4 linked regions of the Saccharomyces cerevisiae S288C genome follow. Changing the gene in region 4 together with the main gene of any one other region gives a genetic interaction. Each region holds a gene or a part of one and is shown on either strand. Other genes may lie near its edges. The genes, in order: SIS2, BCK1, CHO2 and PPZ1.

Evidence for each region.
Region 1: of PPZ1 (region 4) and SIS2, extra expression of one rescues a mutant of the other (dosage rescue), as found in Saccharomyces cerevisiae (7 studies listed by BioGRID, with this or other methods).
Region 2: mutations in PPZ1 (region 4) and BCK1 together harm fitness more than expected from each alone (negative genetic interaction), as found in Saccharomyces cerevisiae (4 studies listed by BioGRID).
Region 3: mutations in PPZ1 (region 4) and CHO2 together harm fitness more than expected from each alone (negative genetic interaction), as found in Saccharomyces cerevisiae (4 studies listed by BioGRID, with this or other methods).

The regions. Positions count from the first base shown.
Region 1 is NC_001143.9:575,922-579,681, reverse strand, and holds SIS2 (phosphopantothenoylcysteine decarboxylase complex subunit SIS2), read left to right. Parts: upstream 1-1,558; coding exon 1,559-3,247; downstream 3,248-3,760. Other genes in the region: AIM29 (Aim29p), read right to left, coding at 6-473; YKR073C (uncharacterized protein), read left to right, coding at 1,175-1,495; electron carrier DRE2, read left to right, coding at 3,702-3,760. UniProt on the Saccharomyces cerevisiae protein: Component of the phosphopantothenoylcysteine decarboxylase (PPCDC) involved in the coenzyme A synthesis. Acts as an inhibitory subunit of protein phosphatase PPZ1, which is involved in many cellular processes such as G1-S transition or salt tolerance.
Region 2 is NC_001142.9:245,666-252,234, reverse strand, and holds BCK1 (mitogen-activated protein kinase kinase kinase BCK1), read right to left. Parts: upstream 4,981-6,569; coding exon 544-4,980; downstream 1-543. Other genes in the region: KHA1 (Kha1p), read left to right, coding at 1-414; mitochondrial 54S ribosomal protein bL21m MRPL49, read right to left, coding at 5,260-5,745; enoyl-CoA hydratase PHS1, read right to left, coding at 5,991-6,569. UniProt on the Saccharomyces cerevisiae protein: Serine/threonine protein kinase involved in a signal transduction pathway that plays a role in yeast cell morphogenesis and cell growth. This pathway seems to start by SMP3; then involve the kinase PKC1 that may act on this kinase.
Region 3 is NC_001139.9:800,876-805,606, forward strand, and holds CHO2 (phosphatidylethanolamine N-methyltransferase), read left to right. Parts: upstream 1-1,564; coding exon 1,565-4,174; downstream 4,175-4,731. Other genes in the region: cleavage polyadenylation factor subunit PTI1, read left to right, coding at 1-948; exosome non-catalytic core subunit MTR3, read right to left, coding at 4,394-4,731. UniProt on the Saccharomyces cerevisiae protein: Catalyzes the first step of the methylation pathway of phosphatidylcholine biosynthesis, the SAM-dependent methylation of phosphatidylethanolamine (PE) to phosphatidylmonomethylethanolamine (PMME). Preferentially converts di-C16:1 substrates.
Region 4 is NC_001145.3:238,939-243,134, reverse strand, and holds PPZ1 (salt homeostasis regulator), read left to right. Parts: upstream 1-1,598; coding exon 1,599-3,677; downstream 3,678-4,196. Other genes in the region: TATA-binding protein-associated factor TAF11, read left to right, coding at 106-1,146. UniProt on the Saccharomyces cerevisiae protein: Essential for the maintenance of cell size and integrity in response to osmotic stress.

The sequences.
Region 1 (3,760 bases), on a different chromosome or scaffold from region 4:
ACATCTCACCATTTTTCTTCAGGGTTTTCTTTAAACCTTAGGTAATCCTCTTTGTTGAAAAGCGAAATTTCGGTTTCATTCTCAATGCCATACTCGAACAGCTTTTTTTTGTCATTCTCTATGTCTAAAGTCCAGTCGTCATCGTGGTCAAAATTGATCACGAGATTAACCGTCTTGGAACCATGTGCGTGCGTGTATATCTTTAAAGTATCAAACTTAACATTACGGAATGGTCTGAATGAACCTTCATTTTGAATTTTGTTCAAAACGTCATTGAACAGGTCCTTTGCAGTTTTATCAGCAAGATCGTAATCGTGCAGCACTATGTTCTTGACGTTTCTATATGGGAAAGATTTTATTACTCGGATTGTAATAACGGAGTTCTTTAGTGGTCTGGCATTTGAGGTTAATGGCTCTTCCAAGTCATAATCATGAAAGGTTGTTGACATTTTCAGCCTTTTAGTTGAATTCATGAAATAATGCAACCAAACAAGAAAAAATTTGGGGGAGGTAGTCTACGCATTTCAGTTCTAACTTCCTTCCTTTTCTTTCACTATTAATTGAAACTTATTTTCATTTTTTTTCTTTAGCATTGAACGCCGAATCTAAAAAAGTAAAGAACTCCTCATAGGGGGCTCGAACCCCTGACATTTCGGTATCCTTGCTTAAGCAAATGCGCTTAAAAGCCGAACGCTCTACCAACTGAGCTAACAAGGATGAGTTCTTCGGAGGGCTAACTCATATAAATAACTAATAAAGGCGAAATAGTGGTCACCACCATCACACTACACCCATATCAACGACAAGAGTTTAATTTGACCGTGGAAATTTATTACTGCTGATTTGGGTTCTATGATAAATCCTCGTAACGTAGAGACTATGTTTTTATATGCGCATTAAGTGCCGGAAAACGTGAGAAATAGGCTTTCCGGAGCATCAAACCTGAGGTTTCATAAATTGTGTTCGTGAAGGATGCATTCCAGAGGGCCATCCATCCAGCATAAAAAGAGATCTACAAAGCAATTATGTGGTTTCGCCATTATCCGTAGGATGACCTAAAAAATGGTAATGATTCACGTGATCTAGAAACTTTAACGTGTTATATCATTCAAGGCGTAACTTATACGCGCGGGGTACCCTATCATATCTAACACACGTACCCTGGGTTAATGCCATGATCGTCTTTGATGTATCTCTAATGATCATTATTATTTTTTCTTTTGCTTTTAACATGAGTCAAAGCAATATTCTTATGTTATATAACTCACCCCATGTGCTCGTGGGCAGTGACGCACGCAACTTTTTCTCTTGCAAAAAATGGCATCGATGCTTTTCTGGGGAGGTGATATTAGAGGAGAAGAAGTCACAGAGTGCTCTTGGATCACGATCCCTCACTTGTACTTGTCCACTTATCAGCGCCGTCCAGTTACATTTGGAGAGATCTTTTTTTAGCCTGGCCTTCTTTGCTGTCATACTACTTTATATTCCGGGATAAAATATAAAGAAATATTAGTTAGGAAAAAATTAATAGGGAAGAAAGATCTAGAAGCAAACAGCAATGACTGCCGTCGCCTCTACTAGCGGGAAGCAAGATGCTGACCATAACCAGTCTATAGAGTGTCCAAGGTTTTCGCGTGGACAGAAAGAGATTTTGTTGGACCATGAGGATGCGAAGGGGAAGGATTCAATAATCAACTCCCCCGTGTCAGGGAGGCAATCAATAAGCCCTACTTTGTCGAATGCTACTACCACGACTACGAAATCTATTATGAATGCCACCGGCACCTCCGGCGCAGTAGTAAGTAATACTCCGGAGCCTGGTTTGAAGAGAGTCCCCGCCGTCACTTTCAGTGATCTAAAGCAACAGCAAAAGCAGGATAGTCTGACTCAGCTGAAGAACGACTCAGAAAGGACCAAGTCTCCAAATAGTAATCCTGCTCCTGTCTCAAATTCCATTCCTGGCAATCATGCAGTTATACCGAACCACACCAACACTTCAAGAACAACGCAATTATCTGGGTCTCCACTCGTCAACGAAATGAAAGATTATGATCCTAAGAAAAAAGACAGTGCTCTTAAAATAGTTGATACCATGAAGCCTGACAAAATCATGGCCACTTCAACGCCAATAAGTAGAGAAAATAATAAGGTAACCGCCAAAGCCCCCACCAGTATTACACTTCGAAAGGAAGATGCACAAGATCAAGCTAACAATGTTTCAGGCCAAATTAATGTGCGTTCTACCCCGGAAGAAACGCCAGTGAAGCAGTCCGTCATTCCTTCCATCATCCCCAAAAGAGAGAACTCCAAGAATTTGGATCCCAGACTACCTCAAGATGATGGAAAATTGCACGTGTTGTTTGGCGCTACAGGTTCGTTATCGGTATTTAAGATCAAGCCAATGATTAAAAAACTAGAAGAAATATATGGACGTGATAGAATAAGCATTCAAGTTATCCTCACTCAATCAGCAACACAGTTTTTCGAACAAAGATATACCAAGAAAATTATCAAATCTTCAGAAAAACTAAATAAAATGTCGCAGTACGAATCCACTCCGGCAACTCCAGTGACACCAACACCAGGACAATGCAACATGGCTCAAGTAGTCGAGTTACCCCCACATATTCAACTATGGACCGACCAAGATGAATGGGACGCATGGAAACAACGAACTGATCCTGTACTTCATATAGAACTACGTCGCTGGGCGGATATACTGGTAGTAGCTCCATTAACTGCAAACACATTATCAAAAATTGCTTTGGGCCTGTGCGACAATCTTCTGACAAGTGTCATTAGAGCTTGGAATCCGAGTTATCCCATTCTTTTGGCACCTTCTATGGTGAGTAGCACTTTTAATTCTATGATGACAAAGAAGCAACTACAAACGATAAAGGAGGAAATGTCCTGGGTCACTGTTTTCAAGCCGTCTGAGAAAGTTATGGATATAAATGGTGATATTGGTCTCGGGGGTATGATGGACTGGAATGAGATTGTTAACAAAATCGTTATGAAATTGGGTGGGTACCCAAAAAATAACGAGGAAGAGGACGATGATGAGGATGAGGAAGAAGACGACGACGAAGAAGAAGATACAGAAGATAAGAACGAAAACAACAACGATGATGATGACGATGACGACGATGACGACGACGACGACGACGACGACGACGACGACGACGACGATGATGACGAGGACGAGGACGAAGCAGAAACCCCAGGTATAATAGATAAGCATCAATAAATAGTCTATGAATTACAAATACACTAAACACATTCTACTTATTTGTGTTTTGTAATTTCTGGAAAAATACTCATTAGGCAAATTCACGCAGCATATTTACAAAATGTCACAAATTTTTTTCCTTTTTTACTTGCAGTAGGTATGTAATGCCATACTAGCGTACATAGAGCTCTTCATATAAACCGCTATTTATTACTAATTTTAATAATTCAGTAATTCATTAAATACATTCATTACTTTCTGGGTAAATATCTATTCGTTTCTCATTTTTCTTTTTTTGACATATCCCGGTACCGGAATAAGTCCGATACTATTCAAAAGCTTCTGGAAAAAAAAAATAAAAAAAAGAAATGATTAGTAATCATTTAATTTCATGACATATTAAAAAGGTATTCTAAGCAGAAGTCTTTCATCACATTTGATCTAAGCATATACACTGTAAGTGAAGGTATCGATGTCACAATACAAAACTGGTTTACTTTTAATACATCCGGCGGTGACTACAACGCCAGA
Region 2 (6,569 bases), on a different chromosome or scaffold from region 4:
GATTATCTTGGACTATATCTTCTCTTATTGATATGCTATAGAGATGGCTATAATAATGATAATGCATCCTGTAGTATATTTATTAACAGCAAGAATATTGATTTCGCAAAAGATTTGTCAACTGCATTTGCTGAGCATGACTGGCTAAACGAATCTACCATTAAAATTGTGGATATCCCCTTTGAAACGAAAGTTCCAGAAGAAGCAATTGAAAAGCCGTCCTTTATAGAGACTGTGCTTGATGTTGGTTTATCAGATACTGCTTTAGCTGATATAGAGGAGACTACCTTTATTATTGGAGAGGACCTTCCTGATGAAAGTGAGCCCTTCAGCGAAGAGGTGAGGACTGTAATATTTGAAGGGTCGAATCGTCGTTTTGACACCCTTATTGTGCACCATTTTTCGTCTGAATAAGTATCAGCAGAAATTTTTTAATTTTCTTTGTTCTTAATTTTCAGTCATTCCGTCATTCCGTCATCTATGTTTATTGTTCTATATTATTACGTATGCATAAATATCTTAAGTATAGATCGATCCTAATAGCTATTCAGTTTTATTCTCCTGAGAGGTTATCCTTAATTTTGAAGAGTTTAACTTATCATTTGACTTTATAAACTTCGCGAGTCTGGTAGATTTGAAATTGAATGTTTCATTTACTTCACTAAAAGGATGAGAAAGAAGCTCGTTAGCGGTTGGCCTTTTCTCTGGATTTATCTCGAAGCATGCGTCCAGAAAATTTCGTCCGATTTGCGATATCAATGGTAAAGTGTCCTCAGGAATTGGTGGTGCCGATTTTGACTTTCCAATTTTGAACATGGCTGCGACGACTTCTAAGTTGGACCACGGGCGCTTACCAGCAAACATTTCCAGAACGATGCATCCCAGAGACCATATATCAACTTTTGCACTGTAGCCTTGCTTTGTATCAACCATTTCAGGAGCCATCCAGAAGACTGTTCCTCGCATGGTCATATCCGAATTAGAGTATATGTCCTTTGATTTTCTTGAAATTCCGAAGTCACTGATTTTGCAGATACCATCTTGATCCAAAAGTAAGTTGTCTGCCTTCATATCCCTGTGGAGAATACCTTTCGAGTGTAGGTATGCCAATCCTTTTAATACTTGTGTTGTTAAATGTTTGATCAACGGTTCATCGAATCTTCCATACATTCTAATCAAGGATCCCACGGAGCCACCAGCAACATATTCTAAAAACAAACTGTAAATATTGTTTTTATTCTCAAAACCTAAGTATTGAACAATATTAAGATGATCTAAATCTTTTAACGTGGACACTTCAGATCTTAATGCTTCCACGGTACTTAGAATGGCTTCATTTTGTGAGCTATACTTGGGGACCTCAACCTGCTTAACGGCCATCATCTCACCTGTAGTAACGTTTAAACATAAATAAACAGCACCGAAAGATCCCTTCCCTATCATTTCACCCTTCATCCAGGCGAATTCCTTATACTCACCTTTCGAATTTTTGGCTTTATTAATTGACACCATATGGTTTTCGGTCACTTCGACCATTCTTGTACCCCACATTTTGGTGTTCTGTCTTTTTAGTTTTACAGAGTTTTTTCTTGCTAAACTAGCTTCATGTGCAATGGTTCTTATGGTTTTTGTTCTTTTAGGTGTCTTAGCTTGATTCAATGGTTTATTTTTACCGTTAAGTCCATCCTGTATGAACTCGTATGAGCTATCAGGAGGGACGGGACGGGAAGGAGTGCTTGGCTCAGTTCTCGATGAAGCCACATTCTTTGGTGAAAGTAGGCTGTCTAAGGATTTCGGAGATGTTGGTGAAGCTATTCCTTCAGTGATTGGCTTATCTAAGTTAGCCCTTGGGAAGAATTTCTCTAAATTTTGATAAACGACCTCCGGAGATGGTCTAAAGGTCATCTTTCTCTCCATTTTGTCCTGCGTTTGAGAATCATAGAATATTTCGTCAGAATGCGTAGAACTGTTATCGCTTTTCTCATCCTTTTTGTTTTCATTATTAGTCTCAGGAGCTGTTTTTTTCTTGGACCAGATAATGTCATCGGATGAACTAGAATCGTCATCACTATCATCGCTGTCAAACATCGGCGGAGCATCCGCGAATGTTATGTCATTCTCTTCAAATATATCGGCCGCAGATGTCGACGAAACAACTCTTTTTGAGTTACCTCTTTTTAACAATGGTGAAGGAGAATAGAAAATTGAATTTGAAGTCGATACAGTTGAATTTGAGCGATTCACTTTCTGTTTCATTTTCAAAGATGGGGAAGTACTCGTCGAGTCCTGGTCTGTTTTCAACCTACGCATAACATCGTTTGCACCCTTATAAGGTTGCGGTATCAAAACATGAGTCGAAGCAGGAGTATATGAGGAAGTAAGCGAATCAGGAGACGAGCTGCTAGCTTCTATAGGAGATGATAATAATTGTGGCGGCAATGGTTTCGATCTTTTGCTTCTCGAAATTTTTGTACTTGCCCTCACTAGGCGGATCGGTTTATTCTGTTTAGAAGTTGATAAGGTCCTCTGAGGAGAAGTATTTGCGGGAGGCTTGGGAGCTTCTCTTTTTGGTGCCAGTTCTGGTTTTGTATAAGGCGATTCCCTACGATGATTGAAATCAATTTCAGTCCCCTCATCTTTTCTTAGCACTTGAAAACTACTCTTGCTTTCATTTTCTGTTATGGGGGTAGGAATATTTAATTTACTTCCTTTATCTGGTAGGTTGAGTTCTAATTTTGGACTTGTTTTAAAAACCATTTTTGGTGCATTTTCCTCATGAGAAAGAACTTCTTTAATATTCCAATAATTCAATTCTTCAGTTGGATTAGTATTGGAAACTCTGTCATAGTAATAACTCGGGGTTTGGGGGTACCTGCGCCCACTTCCTGATGCATGTTCATCAAATGATGTTATGTCAGAAGACGAAGTGACAATGGAAACATCATCTGTCGATGCTATCAGACTGCTTGTTCCGGACCTCATTGAACTCTTACTTTTCACCGATTTTAAAGGAACATTGTTTTCTGAGGTGAGAGGAGCAGGTTTCGGTTTTTGTTGAAGCTTCATTTGGTCTTTGATATAAATTTTTCCAGAAGTGTTCAAAAACAAGCTTTTTTTCAAAAATTCCAAAGTATCATCTGGAATTGCAGCACCAATATCGCAATCAAAGTCTGTCATATGGAAAGTGACATTTTTGTGATTGATTCCCAATTTTGTGAGAGCAGATTCTTTGAAACTGGATAATTTTGCTACACTTTTTAAGTTTAGCGGAACAAAACTAACATTATCTTTGGTAACCAGAATATATTTATTCTCACTATCATTTAACCCTGTTTTCTTCAGAGGATAAAATTTTTGGTCCAGTAAAAAGTTCTTTACACTATACTTTTGATTATTTACCGGCACTGGAACTGTCTTGTCTGGATTAATACAATCAGGATACGTTTCTTTAAAAGACGCCGTGGTTGAAGAAATTTTAGGTGTATCTTCTGTGCTGATGACCTCCAAACTTCTGTTTGCAGTTTTGGGTATTGGCGGTGGTGATGAAGATGGAGATGGTATATTTACATCTGCCGTTTGTACGGTTAAGGTAGCAGTACTCGAATTCGATTTTAAGGATGGAGTTTCTTGAGACGTTACATAAGCTACCGTATTTGGGCTAGGAACCCCTATTTGGCTCTTTCTTTTGAATTTATTCCATAAATTACCTTTATCATCCGAAGTGGGTAGTGAAGATTGTTTTAAAGGTGAAGACACATTAGTTTCATAGTGTTTAGATTTTCCTTTAGCTAAATTTTCACTAGACAGACTATGACCTTGTGGATTAGGCTTTGTTGGAGCTTCCTCGCCTATTCCACTACCAAAAAGGGAATTTAATAATGACGACTCAGATGAACTACTTTTGTGATGTCTTCTAAATATGCTAGGATACGAAGGAGATGCAGGTGGGCTCGCCGATTTGGTAAGTGTACTGTTAGATTCAATAATTGAGTGCGGCCGAGCCGGTATACTTAACTTGATGTTTGAAGGTGATTTTGCTGAGGAAGCATTGCTCGATGATGAGCCTCTTAGGGATATAAAACTTCTTCTGTATAGTGAACTTGCGCTTTTGGTTTTTTGGTGTGTTGAAGTAGAATGTAAAAAATTCTTTTCATCGGTCTTGGAAGGGCCCGATTTTGTTGGGCTCAATGCAGATTCTGACGTTGATCTAGAATTTGAAATATCCTCTTGCGATTTACTATTTTTTAATTTTGATTTGATCGATTCGCTGGAAGACCTGGAACTTTTAAGTTTGCTAGCGCTCTTCTGACGAATATGGCTATTTGTTACGTTCTTGGTCATTGTTTTTTTCAATAACTGCTGAAACCTGGTATATGAAGCAGTTTTAGTCTGCGGCAAATACTTTTCATAAACAGCGAAATTATCATATGCAAGCAACTTTATAAATCTGTGACCAAACAATTGATGCTTTTTGAAAAACAATATCCAGGATTCTGGAAAATCATGAAATTTAAACCATGAGGTGACGCGATGCATTGTCCATTCATCAGGGTCTGTAGGATCCCACGATAGAATTAGCTTGTCAAAGGACAAACTATTTACGCTATTGCCACCGGAGGATTTCCTCGAATCAGAGAGGCTACTAGGTCCATTGTCATTTTTATAAGAACTGTTTGTAAAGCTCGTTGGGTTTTCAAGCGTTCCAGCTGAGATGTGGTCATCTGTCGTCCAATTAAAGGATTGTTCGATAACTGGCGTGCTTTCGTAAAACTGAGAAGAGGTAGAGTTGGGGGTTAGGTTGGGAAATTGGCTTCTAATATCATCATAAATGCTTTTGCGAGATGTTGCACGAGGGCTTTTGCTTGAACTTTTGGTTGATGCTACCGAACTAGTCGGCTGATGGCCGAATTTCACAGATGAGTTCGAATCAGACCTAGAATGTGTATGTGCTGTCCCCGCTATTTTCCTCAAAAAGGGCATTTGGAGGTGGAGTTGAACTATTTTAATACTATATTTAGTGTTTCGTACTAATGGTCACCCCTCTGCCCTTGTTTTTTTATTTTTTTTTTTGGTGAATCCATTACCTGATTTTATTATTATGCTTACTTTTAATTAACTTGTTGAAATTTCATAGCATTATAACTTAGAAGACGCGTCGGTCTGGAATTGAATGGCCATTGGGGCCGAAGAAAGTGTGTCAAATTTTATTGTTATTTACATGATTTTATACGTATGCGTATATGTACATATCCCTAAAATTCAGTTCATACTCAGTTCTGATATTCTTAAGATTGTCAAATCACCTTTACTCTTTGCATGACGGACCCGTCTATTTCTTCTCTTCGTTACCTCCCTAGTTTGGAAAGCCCTTTTAGTTTTCCCAACAACGGTTGCTTTTAAAGTATACAGAGAAGTATTGATTGGATGACCAACTAGCTTGTAGTTTCTAGATCCTAAAGTTGTTACATCGGTCATGTTTAAAATGTCACCCACCTCCGCTTGCTTCAATTTGAATGGAAGAATAACTCTGTCGCCCTCGGTCACCAAATATGGACGATTATGAATCTTGAATATTGCATATAGTTCATTTGATAATTTTAGTGGAGTTGTATCTGTCTTAGTAGTCTTAGCTTTTGTACTACTGATGCTTGAGGAAGTAGCTAAATTTCTGAATGGATGACTGGTAAATGGCCTATAAATAGGTGTGATTCTGGCCACTGGCCATATGAATTTCAGTTGTAGCATGAAAATTAGAGCAACACACTTAAGATTGTCTCGGCACAGTTGTTTCAGTAGGCTGTGAAGGTCGACTCCGAGTGAGCTTCGACATCTTTCTAAGAGTTCTCTAATTCGGCTACCCTTCGCAATTTTGCTCAATATAAAGCCCGTGCACCGCAAGATACTAGTGATTATGGTTAAGAGCGTTGAAGCCATTTCAATGTGAAGGCTAATATTCTTATAAAAAATACAGAAGAATTTATCTAAAGAATTCAAATTAGTTTCTTCCCGAAAGAGGATCTTAAACTTTTCATGACTTTCTTTCTCTGTGCTACCATGTGTAGGAAGAGCATTGGGAAGCCTGGGATATAAGCGAGCATGGCCGCTATTAAAATTCTTTTGTAAAGTAAAGAATACTGAGATTCAGCTGCATTTAAAGCACAGTAAATAATGCGTAGTTCGCTGGCAACACCAGTGGGGTACAAAATCCAGAACAAATTATATCTTAATAGAATTAAGATCTTTGGTGCGCCATTCTTGAATACCAACATGAAAAAATAATACAAGTATCTGACGATCTCAGTTATAGACCATGCCAGTAATAATGATATGTAAACAACTGATTGAACACCACTTGTGTTTGGCAACAATTGGAAGATGCCGAGGACAACTAGTAGTCTTGAAGACACTTGTGCAACAGTGGTCAGCAATGGGGAACGTACAACTCCTAAAAATGAGTTTATGATCTCGATTATAGCACCACATTGAACAAGGGTAGCGACATTTTTAGTTTGGTAGAAGAATGCTGGCTGTCCAACTTTTGGGTACAAGGAGATGACCAAGTAAAGCAA
Region 3 (4,731 bases), on a different chromosome or scaffold from region 4:
CAAAAGCAGGTATTACAACTTAATAGAGATTCGTACCCCTTCGAGGCGGGTTTGGAGCTACCTTTCGAAATGGTGACAGAAGTCCCCATTCCTAGGCGACCACCGCCACCACAGGCTGCAAATAACACAAACTCTGTATCAAATAACACAAACATTCAATTCCCCGACATACTAAGTAAAGCATCTAAACACTTGCCAAGTTTCCAAGATGGCTCGATTATTGCACCAGACAAAATTTCACAAAATTTAAGTAAAATTCCGCCGTTGCAACTTATTGAAATTATATCAAATTTGAAAATATTATCAAACCAAGAAAACATCCAAAAATCGCAATTAGAATCTTTCTTAGATACTAACAGTGATATCACAATATCAGTGACCCAAGCCCTACTAGAAATGGGATTTATAGACTACAGCGTGGTGACTAAAGTGTTGAAATCCCAAGTTGGCGAGGCCCCATCTTTGCTTTCGAGTAATAACACAAGTAATTCGAACACCCCCGTAAGCGTAATTAGAAATAACACTCCGTTGCATGTACCTTCTAATGAAGTCAGCAACAATCCTAACAATATGCCACTGAACGTAGCTATGCCAATGCCTATGTCGACACCACCATTTATCCCTTTACCTCTGCAACAACAACCGTTCGGTTTTGCGCCACCGGGCCCTTTCATGCCTCCAGCTCAAGGCCCCTCCATGGGACAGCCTGTGTTGGCAAATCAACTCGGCCAGGTCCAGCAACAAAATATAAGTTCTACAGAAGGACCCTCTAACGCGAATAAAGCGAATGACAGCGGCACCATTAATATGGCGAAACTGCAATTACTACCTGAAAACCAACAAGATATGATCAAACAAGTTCTTACTTTGACACCTGCCCAGATCCAAAGTTTACCAAGTGACCAGCAACTTATGGTGGAAAACTTTAGAAAAGAATATATAATCTAAGTAATCAGAGCCATAGCGTATCAGAAAACCACACCTAATTAGATGGTTCTTGCATCTGTACCTCTTATCACTAAAAGCGGCACTAAACTTCCAACATTAAATGTTTGCCTTGTTAAATATATATTTTTGCCTTGGTTTAAATTGGTCAAGACAGTCAATTGCCACACTTTTCTCATGCCGCATTCATTATTCGCGAAGTTTTCCACACAAAACTGTGAAAATGAACGGCGATGCCAGAAACGGCAAAACCTCAAATGTTAGATAACGTGGATCTCCGACACATGTGAATTTATAAGTAGGCATATGAAAATACAGATTCTTTCCACTGTGTTCCCTTTTATTCCCTTCTCATGTGAAGAGTTCACACCAAATCTTCAAAATATAACTAATATAGTAGAGTTTGATTCAAAGGACCTTTTTTTTTGCCTCTTTGATTAGTTTATCTTCTTTTCTTCATTTTATCCCCTAATTTTATACGTTAGTTCAACCTAACAATCCAGGATTTCATTAACAAGAAAGGTAAAAGTAACCTATCAAGGCTATTTTGAAAAAAAAAATTCCGCCCTGAATATTTCGAGTGATTTTCTTAGTGACAAAGCTTTTTCTTCATCTGTAGATGTCCAGTTGTAAAACCACTTTGTCTGAAATGGTTGGTTCTGTGACAAAAGATAGGGGCACTATCAACGTCGAAGCCAGAACACGTTCGAGTAATGTAACTTTCAAACCACCTGTAACCCACGATATGGTGCGTTCGCTTTTCGATCCAACTTTGAAGAAATCTCTGCTGGAAAAATGCATCGCGCTAGCTATTATATCGAATTTTTTCATTTGTTATTGGGTCTTCCAAAGGTTTGGCTTACAGTTTACCAAATACTTTTTTCTGGTACAGTATTTATTTTGGAGAATTGCTTATAATTTAGGTATTGGACTGGTTCTGCATTACCAGTCACATTATGAAACACTAACGAATTGTGCTAAAACTCATGCGATTTTCAGCAAAATACCACAGAATAAAGATGCTAATTCGAATTTCTCAACAAATTCCAATTCCTTTTCAGAAAAATTTTGGAATTTTATTAGGAAGTTCTGTCAATATGAGATTAGGTCTAAAATGCCAAAGGAGTATGATTTATTTGCCTATCCAGAAGAGATCAACGTCTGGTTGATATTTCGCCAGTTTGTCGATTTAATCTTGATGCAAGATTTTGTGACTTACATTATTTACGTTTACCTTTCTATTCCATATAGCTGGGTTCAAATCTTCAACTGGAGATCTTTGCTAGGTGTTATTTTGATTTTATTTAACATCTGGGTCAAGTTAGATGCGCATCGCGTGGTTAAAGATTATGCTTGGTACTGGGGTGATTTCTTCTTTTTGGAAGAATCTGAATTGATTTTTGATGGTGTCTTCAACATCTCTCCACATCCAATGTATTCTATTGGTTATTTGGGTTATTATGGCCTATCATTGATTTGTAATGACTACAAGGTTCTTCTGGTGTCCGTATTTGGACATTATTCTCAATTTTTGTTTCTGAAATACGTCGAAAATCCTCATATTGAAAGAACGTATGGTGATGGCACTGATTCCGATTCTCAAATGAATAGCAGAATTGATGACTTGATATCAAAAGAGAATTACGATTATTCAAGACCTCTAATTAACATGGGTCTTTCTTTTAACAACTTCAATAAGCTAAGATTTACTGACTATTTCACAATTGGTACCGTAGCGGCACTTATGTTAGGAACAATCATGAATGCTAGGTTTATCAATTTAAATTACCTCTTTATTACCGTTTTTGTAACAAAACTGGTTTCATGGTTATTTATCTCGACAATATTGTACAAGCAATCTCAGTCTAAATGGTTCACGAGATTGTTTTTGGAGAATGGTTACACACAAGTTTATTCCTATGAGCAATGGCAATTTATTTACAATTATTATTTGGTATTAACCTACACACTTATGATAATTCATACAGGGCTTCAAATTTGGAGTAATTTTTCCAACATAAACAACAGTCAATTAATTTTTGGTTTAATTCTTGTGGCTTTACAAACATGGTGTGATAAGGAAACGAGACTAGCAATCTCTGATTTTGGTTGGTTTTATGGTGATTTTTTCTTGAGCAACTATATCTCAACTAGAAAGCTGACTTCCCAAGGTATCTACAGATATTTGAATCACCCAGAAGCGGTATTAGGCGTTGTTGGAGTTTGGGGTACTGTATTGATGACGAATTTTGCCGTTACAAATATTATCTTGGCTGTTTTATGGACATTGACAAATTTTATTCTTGTCAAGTTTATTGAAACACCTCATGTTAATAAGATATATGGTAAAACTAAACGAGTTAGTGGTGTTGGAAAAACTTTACTAGGCTTGAAACCTCTAAGACAAGTTTCAGATATTGTCAATAGAATTGAAAATATTATAATCAAATCATTAGTTGATGAAAGCAAGAACTCCAATGGTGGGGCAGAACTTTTGCCCAAAAATTATCAAGATAACAAAGAATGGAATATTTTAATTCAGGAAGCAATGGATAGCGTTGCAACAAGATTGAGTCCATACTGTGAATTGAAAATTGAAAACGAGCAGGTAGAAACCAATTTTGTCTTGCCTACTCCAGTAACTTTGAATTGGAAAATGCCCATTGAACTTTATAACGGAGATGATTGGATTGGTTTGTATAAAGTCATTGATACAAGGGCAGATCGTGAAAAAACAAGAGTTGGATCAGGTGGTCATTGGAGTGCGACTTCTAAAGATTCATATATGAACCATGGATTAAGACATAAAGAATCTGTAACAGAAATAAAGGCGACTGAAAAGTACGTTCAAGGTAAAGTGACATTCGACACGTCTTTGCTTTATTTTGAAAATGGTATCTACGAATTTAGGTATCATTCTGGTAACTCCCATAAGGTGTTATTGATTTCTACACCATTTGAAATTTCATTGCCGGTACTAAATACCACGACACCTGAACTGTTTGAGAAGGATTTGACTGAGTTTTTGACGAAAGTCAACGTTTTGAAGGATGGTAAATTTCGTCCATTAGGAAATAAGTTCTTCGGGATGGACAGCTTGAAACAATTGATTAAGAACTCAATTGGCGTCGAACTTTCGTCTGAGTATATGAGGAGAGTCAATGGTGACGCTCACGTTATTTCGCATCGCGCTTGGGATATAAAACAAACGCTTGATAGTCTTGCTTGAGTTTTTTTTTTTTGAGTATATATATTTAAAAAGTACTAGGATTCAAGTTAACATTTTGAATAGAAGTAGTTATGTTGTTGTAATATAATGGAGCTACCATATATGCAGAATGACATTATAAATTATGATGTTGATGTACAATGCCTTTGTGCGCTTCTTTTACCATGAATTTTTTCTTAACCTCTTTCACTTTTCTTTCCGACTAGGATAATCTCGTGTCTAAGTTTCCTGGTTCATTAAACAGCTTATCATTAAATCTCTATAACGGTTATATTGCTCCTTGCAACGATCAAGGCATTCCAAAAGATCTTCATCGTCACCATCATCCTTCCAAAAACCTACAATTTCCTCTCCATTTTTGATGAATGATACGACAGTGCCATTGGCCTCACCGGCACCTGCCATATCCACTAATTCGATGCCGGCATCAGCTAAGGCTAGCGTTATACTAGTGATACAATGTGGTATGAGAGATGATATTTGAGAAGACATCATTTTGCTTTGCGAATCGTCGTCCTGAGGATTATTTGTAAGATCCTTATCATACGTTAAATAAA
Region 4 (4,196 bases):
GACTGAAAAGTTGAAAGAAATTGAAAAATCAAGAAGAGGTATATAGAGATAATTATCCATATAAATGAAGAGCACAAAGTAAGTTTGAGCTTCAACAGCGCAACGATGACCGAACCTCAAGGTCCTTTGGACACCATCCCGAAAGTGAACTATCCGCCAATACTGACAATAGCAAACTATTTTTCCACAAAACAAATGATTGACCAAGTCATCAGTGAGGACCAGGACTACGTTACGTGGAAATTGCAAAACCTGCGAACGGGTGGTACATCAATCAACAACCAATTAAATAAATATCCAAAATACAAATACCAGAAAACCAGGATAAATCAGCAAGACCCGGACTCTATCAACAAAGTCCCAGAAAACCTGATCTTTCCACAAGACATTTTACAACAGCAAACACAAAATAGCAATTACGAAGACACCAATACCAACGAAGATGAAAATGAAAAACTTGCGCAGGACGAACAATTCAAGCTCTTGGTAACCAACTTGGATAAAGATCAAACTAATCGGTTTGAAGTTTTCCATAGAACATCCCTAAACAAAACCCAGGTCAAAAAACTGGCTAGCACAGTAGCTAATCAAACTATAAGTGAAAATATTCGTGTTTTTCTGCAAGCGGTGGGAAAAATATACGCTGGTGAGATAATCGAATTGGCCATGATTGTGAAGAATAAGTGGTTGACAAGTCAAATGTGCATAGAGTTTGATAAGAGGACCAAAATAGGCTATAAATTGAAAAAATATCTAAAAAAATTGACTTTCTCCATCATAGAAAACCAGCAATACAAGCAAGATTATCAATCCGATAGCGTTCCCGAAGACGAACCTGATTTCTACTTCGACGATGAAGAAGTAGACAAGCGCGAAACTACGCTGGGCAACTCGTTGCTACAGTCCAAATCCTTACAGCAATCAGACCATAATTCACAGGACTTGAAGCTACAACTCATCGAGCAGTACAATAAGCTCGTCCTCCAATTCAACAAACTAGATGTAAGCATCGAGAAATATAACAACAGTCCCTTATTGCCCGAACACATCCGTGAGGCGTGGAGACTCTACCGTCTGCAGTCGGACACTTTGCCTAACGCTTACTGGAGAACTCAAGGAGAAGGGCAGGGATCCATGTTCAGATAGCTGCCCATAATTGTCCAACGGCTCCAACATATATCAATCTATATATAAACATATATATAATTTTTAACATGTCGTTTGAAATGACATGTCTATTTTTAAAAGGATAGCATATAAATTAATGAAAAAAAAAAAAAGAAAACGATTACTGCAGATCTTCTAATTCTGTTAATCAGCTTTCTCTTGTGAACCATTGGCAGGTGGGTAACATAAAAGCACAATACAATAGCTTCCATTATTAGTTTTGTTTGTTTTGGCAATACATGTTAAATCTTTTTCTTTCAAGTTAAATATAAAGATTATATATAAAAGTACTTCTTTGGAATACATTTGATTATACTTTTCTTTATCGTTTTATTTTTATTTCATCGTTATAGTCGCTTCTTTTCCCCTAGAGGCTTTGTCATAAAACAACAAATCAACCACTCTCTGCTTATCTTTCCTTCCTTTTCAAAATGGGTAATTCAAGTTCAAAATCTTCGAAAAAGGATTCACATTCGAATTCCTCCTCGAGAAATCCTCGTCCTCAAGTGTCGAGAACCGAGACTTCCCATTCTGTGAAGTCTGCAAAATCAAATAAATCTTCAAGATCAAGGCGATCTCTTCCTTCTTCGTCCACTACGAATACTAATTCAAACGTCCCTGATCCCTCCACTCCATCAAAGCCCAATCTTGAGGTTAATCACCAACGACATAGCTCTCACACGAATCGTTACCATTTCCCATCTAGCTCACACTCGCATTCAAATTCTCAAAACGAATTGTTAACTACTCCTTCATCATCCTCTACTAAGAGGCCTTCTACTTCTAGAAGATCAAGTTATAATACTAAGGCTGCTGCTGATTTACCACCTTCAATGATCCAAATGGAACCCAAGTCACCCATTTTAAAAACAAACAATAGTAGCACACACGTATCCAAGCATAAATCTTCATACTCATCTACCTATTATGAGAACGCCTTAACCGATGATGACAATGATGATAAAGACAACGACATCTCGCACACTAAAAGGTTTTCTAGATCTTCGAATTCTCGTCCGTCCAGTATAAGAAGCGGATCAGTGTCAAGAAGGAAATCAGATGTGACCCATGAAGAGCCTAACAATGGATCATACTCCTCTAACAATCAGGAGAATTATCTCGTTCAGGCATTAACCCGGTCAAATTCTCATGCATCTTCGCTACACAGTAGGAAATCTTCGTTTGGATCAGATGGTAATACCGCATACAGCACCCCATTAAACTCTCCAGGCTTGTCCAAGCTAACAGATCACTCTGGTGAATACTTTACCTCTAATTCAACCTCCTCATTGAATCACCATTCAAGTCGCGATATTTACCCGAGCAAACACATCAGCAATGATGATGACATTGAAAATTCATCTCAATTGAGTAATATCCATGCATCAATGGAAAATGTTAATGATAAAAATAATAATATAACAGATAGCAAAAAAGATCCGAATGAGGAATTTAATGATATAATGCAATCTTCCGGAAACAAAAACGCTCCAAAAAAATTCAAAAAGCCTATCGATATTGATGAAACTATCCAAAAATTACTGGATGCGGGCTACGCTGCTAAGAGAACAAAAAATGTTTGTTTGAAGAACAATGAAATTTTACAGATTTGCATCAAGGCTCGTGAAATCTTTCTTTCTCAACCTTCCTTATTAGAATTATCACCTCCTGTAAAAATTGTAGGCGACGTTCATGGCCAATATGGGGATCTCTTAAGGCTTTTTACCAAATGTGGGTTCCCACCATCCTCGAACTATTTATTCCTAGGTGATTATGTGGACCGTGGTAAACAGTCACTGGAGACTATTTTACTATTGTTTTGTTACAAAATAAAATACCCTGAAAATTTCTTTTTATTGAGAGGCAACCATGAATGTGCTAACGTCACAAGGGTTTATGGATTTTATGATGAATGTAAACGTCGTTGTAACATCAAGATCTGGAAGACATTCATCGATACTTTTAATACATTACCATTAGCTGCTATCGTAGCCGGAAAGATTTTTTGTGTTCATGGTGGATTGTCGCCAGTTTTAAATTCTATGGATGAAATCAGACATGTAGTTAGGCCTACTGATGTACCAGATTTTGGCTTAATTAATGATCTTTTGTGGTCCGATCCCACAGATTCACCCAACGAATGGGAGGATAACGAACGTGGTGTAAGTTACTGTTATAATAAGGTGGCAATTAACAAATTCTTGAACAAGTTTGGGTTTGATTTGGTTTGTAGAGCTCACATGGTTGTGGAAGACGGTTATGAATTTTTCAATGATAGAAGTCTCGTTACGGTGTTTTCCGCGCCAAATTATTGTGGTGAATTTGATAATTGGGGGGCTGTAATGAGCGTCAGCGAAGGTTTATTGTGCTCTTTTGAATTGTTAGATCCACTAGATAGTGCAGCTTTGAAGCAAGTTATGAAGAAAGGTAGACAGGAAAGAAAACTGGCTAATCAACAACAGCAAATGATGGAAACAAGCATCACAAATGATAACGAATCTCAACAGTAAATTTACTGACTAAAAAATCCAGAAGTATTATATTCATTATTTCATGAACAACTCAACGATGTACATATGCACATATATATATATATATATATATATATATATATGAAAGACAGGAAATAGAAGTTCCCTATCTTTTTCTTAATGACATTAAAAAACTTCCTTTCATCGCCTACTGCCTTCGCGTGTGTATTGAATGCTCATTCGCTCTATACAATCTAGAACTCTCCGAAATTTCGTTCTACTTTGCTTTCGCTATATTAAGCTGTTTATATAAATTACGTAATGGTATATAGTCATATAGCTAAATTCAATGGTTCGTTTCTATAGATTGGTTCTCCTTAATTTTAATTTTTTATTGCGTATAACGTGAGAGATTATTTTCAACCCCCCCAATACTTACGAAACTTCATAAAACTTCTTTAAGAAATAAGGGCCTATAAAAATTGTGAACTAATCAAGAGAAAATATATAATCAAAATTGATTAATCAGAAAGACGAATTTTTTTTAAAAAAAAAATT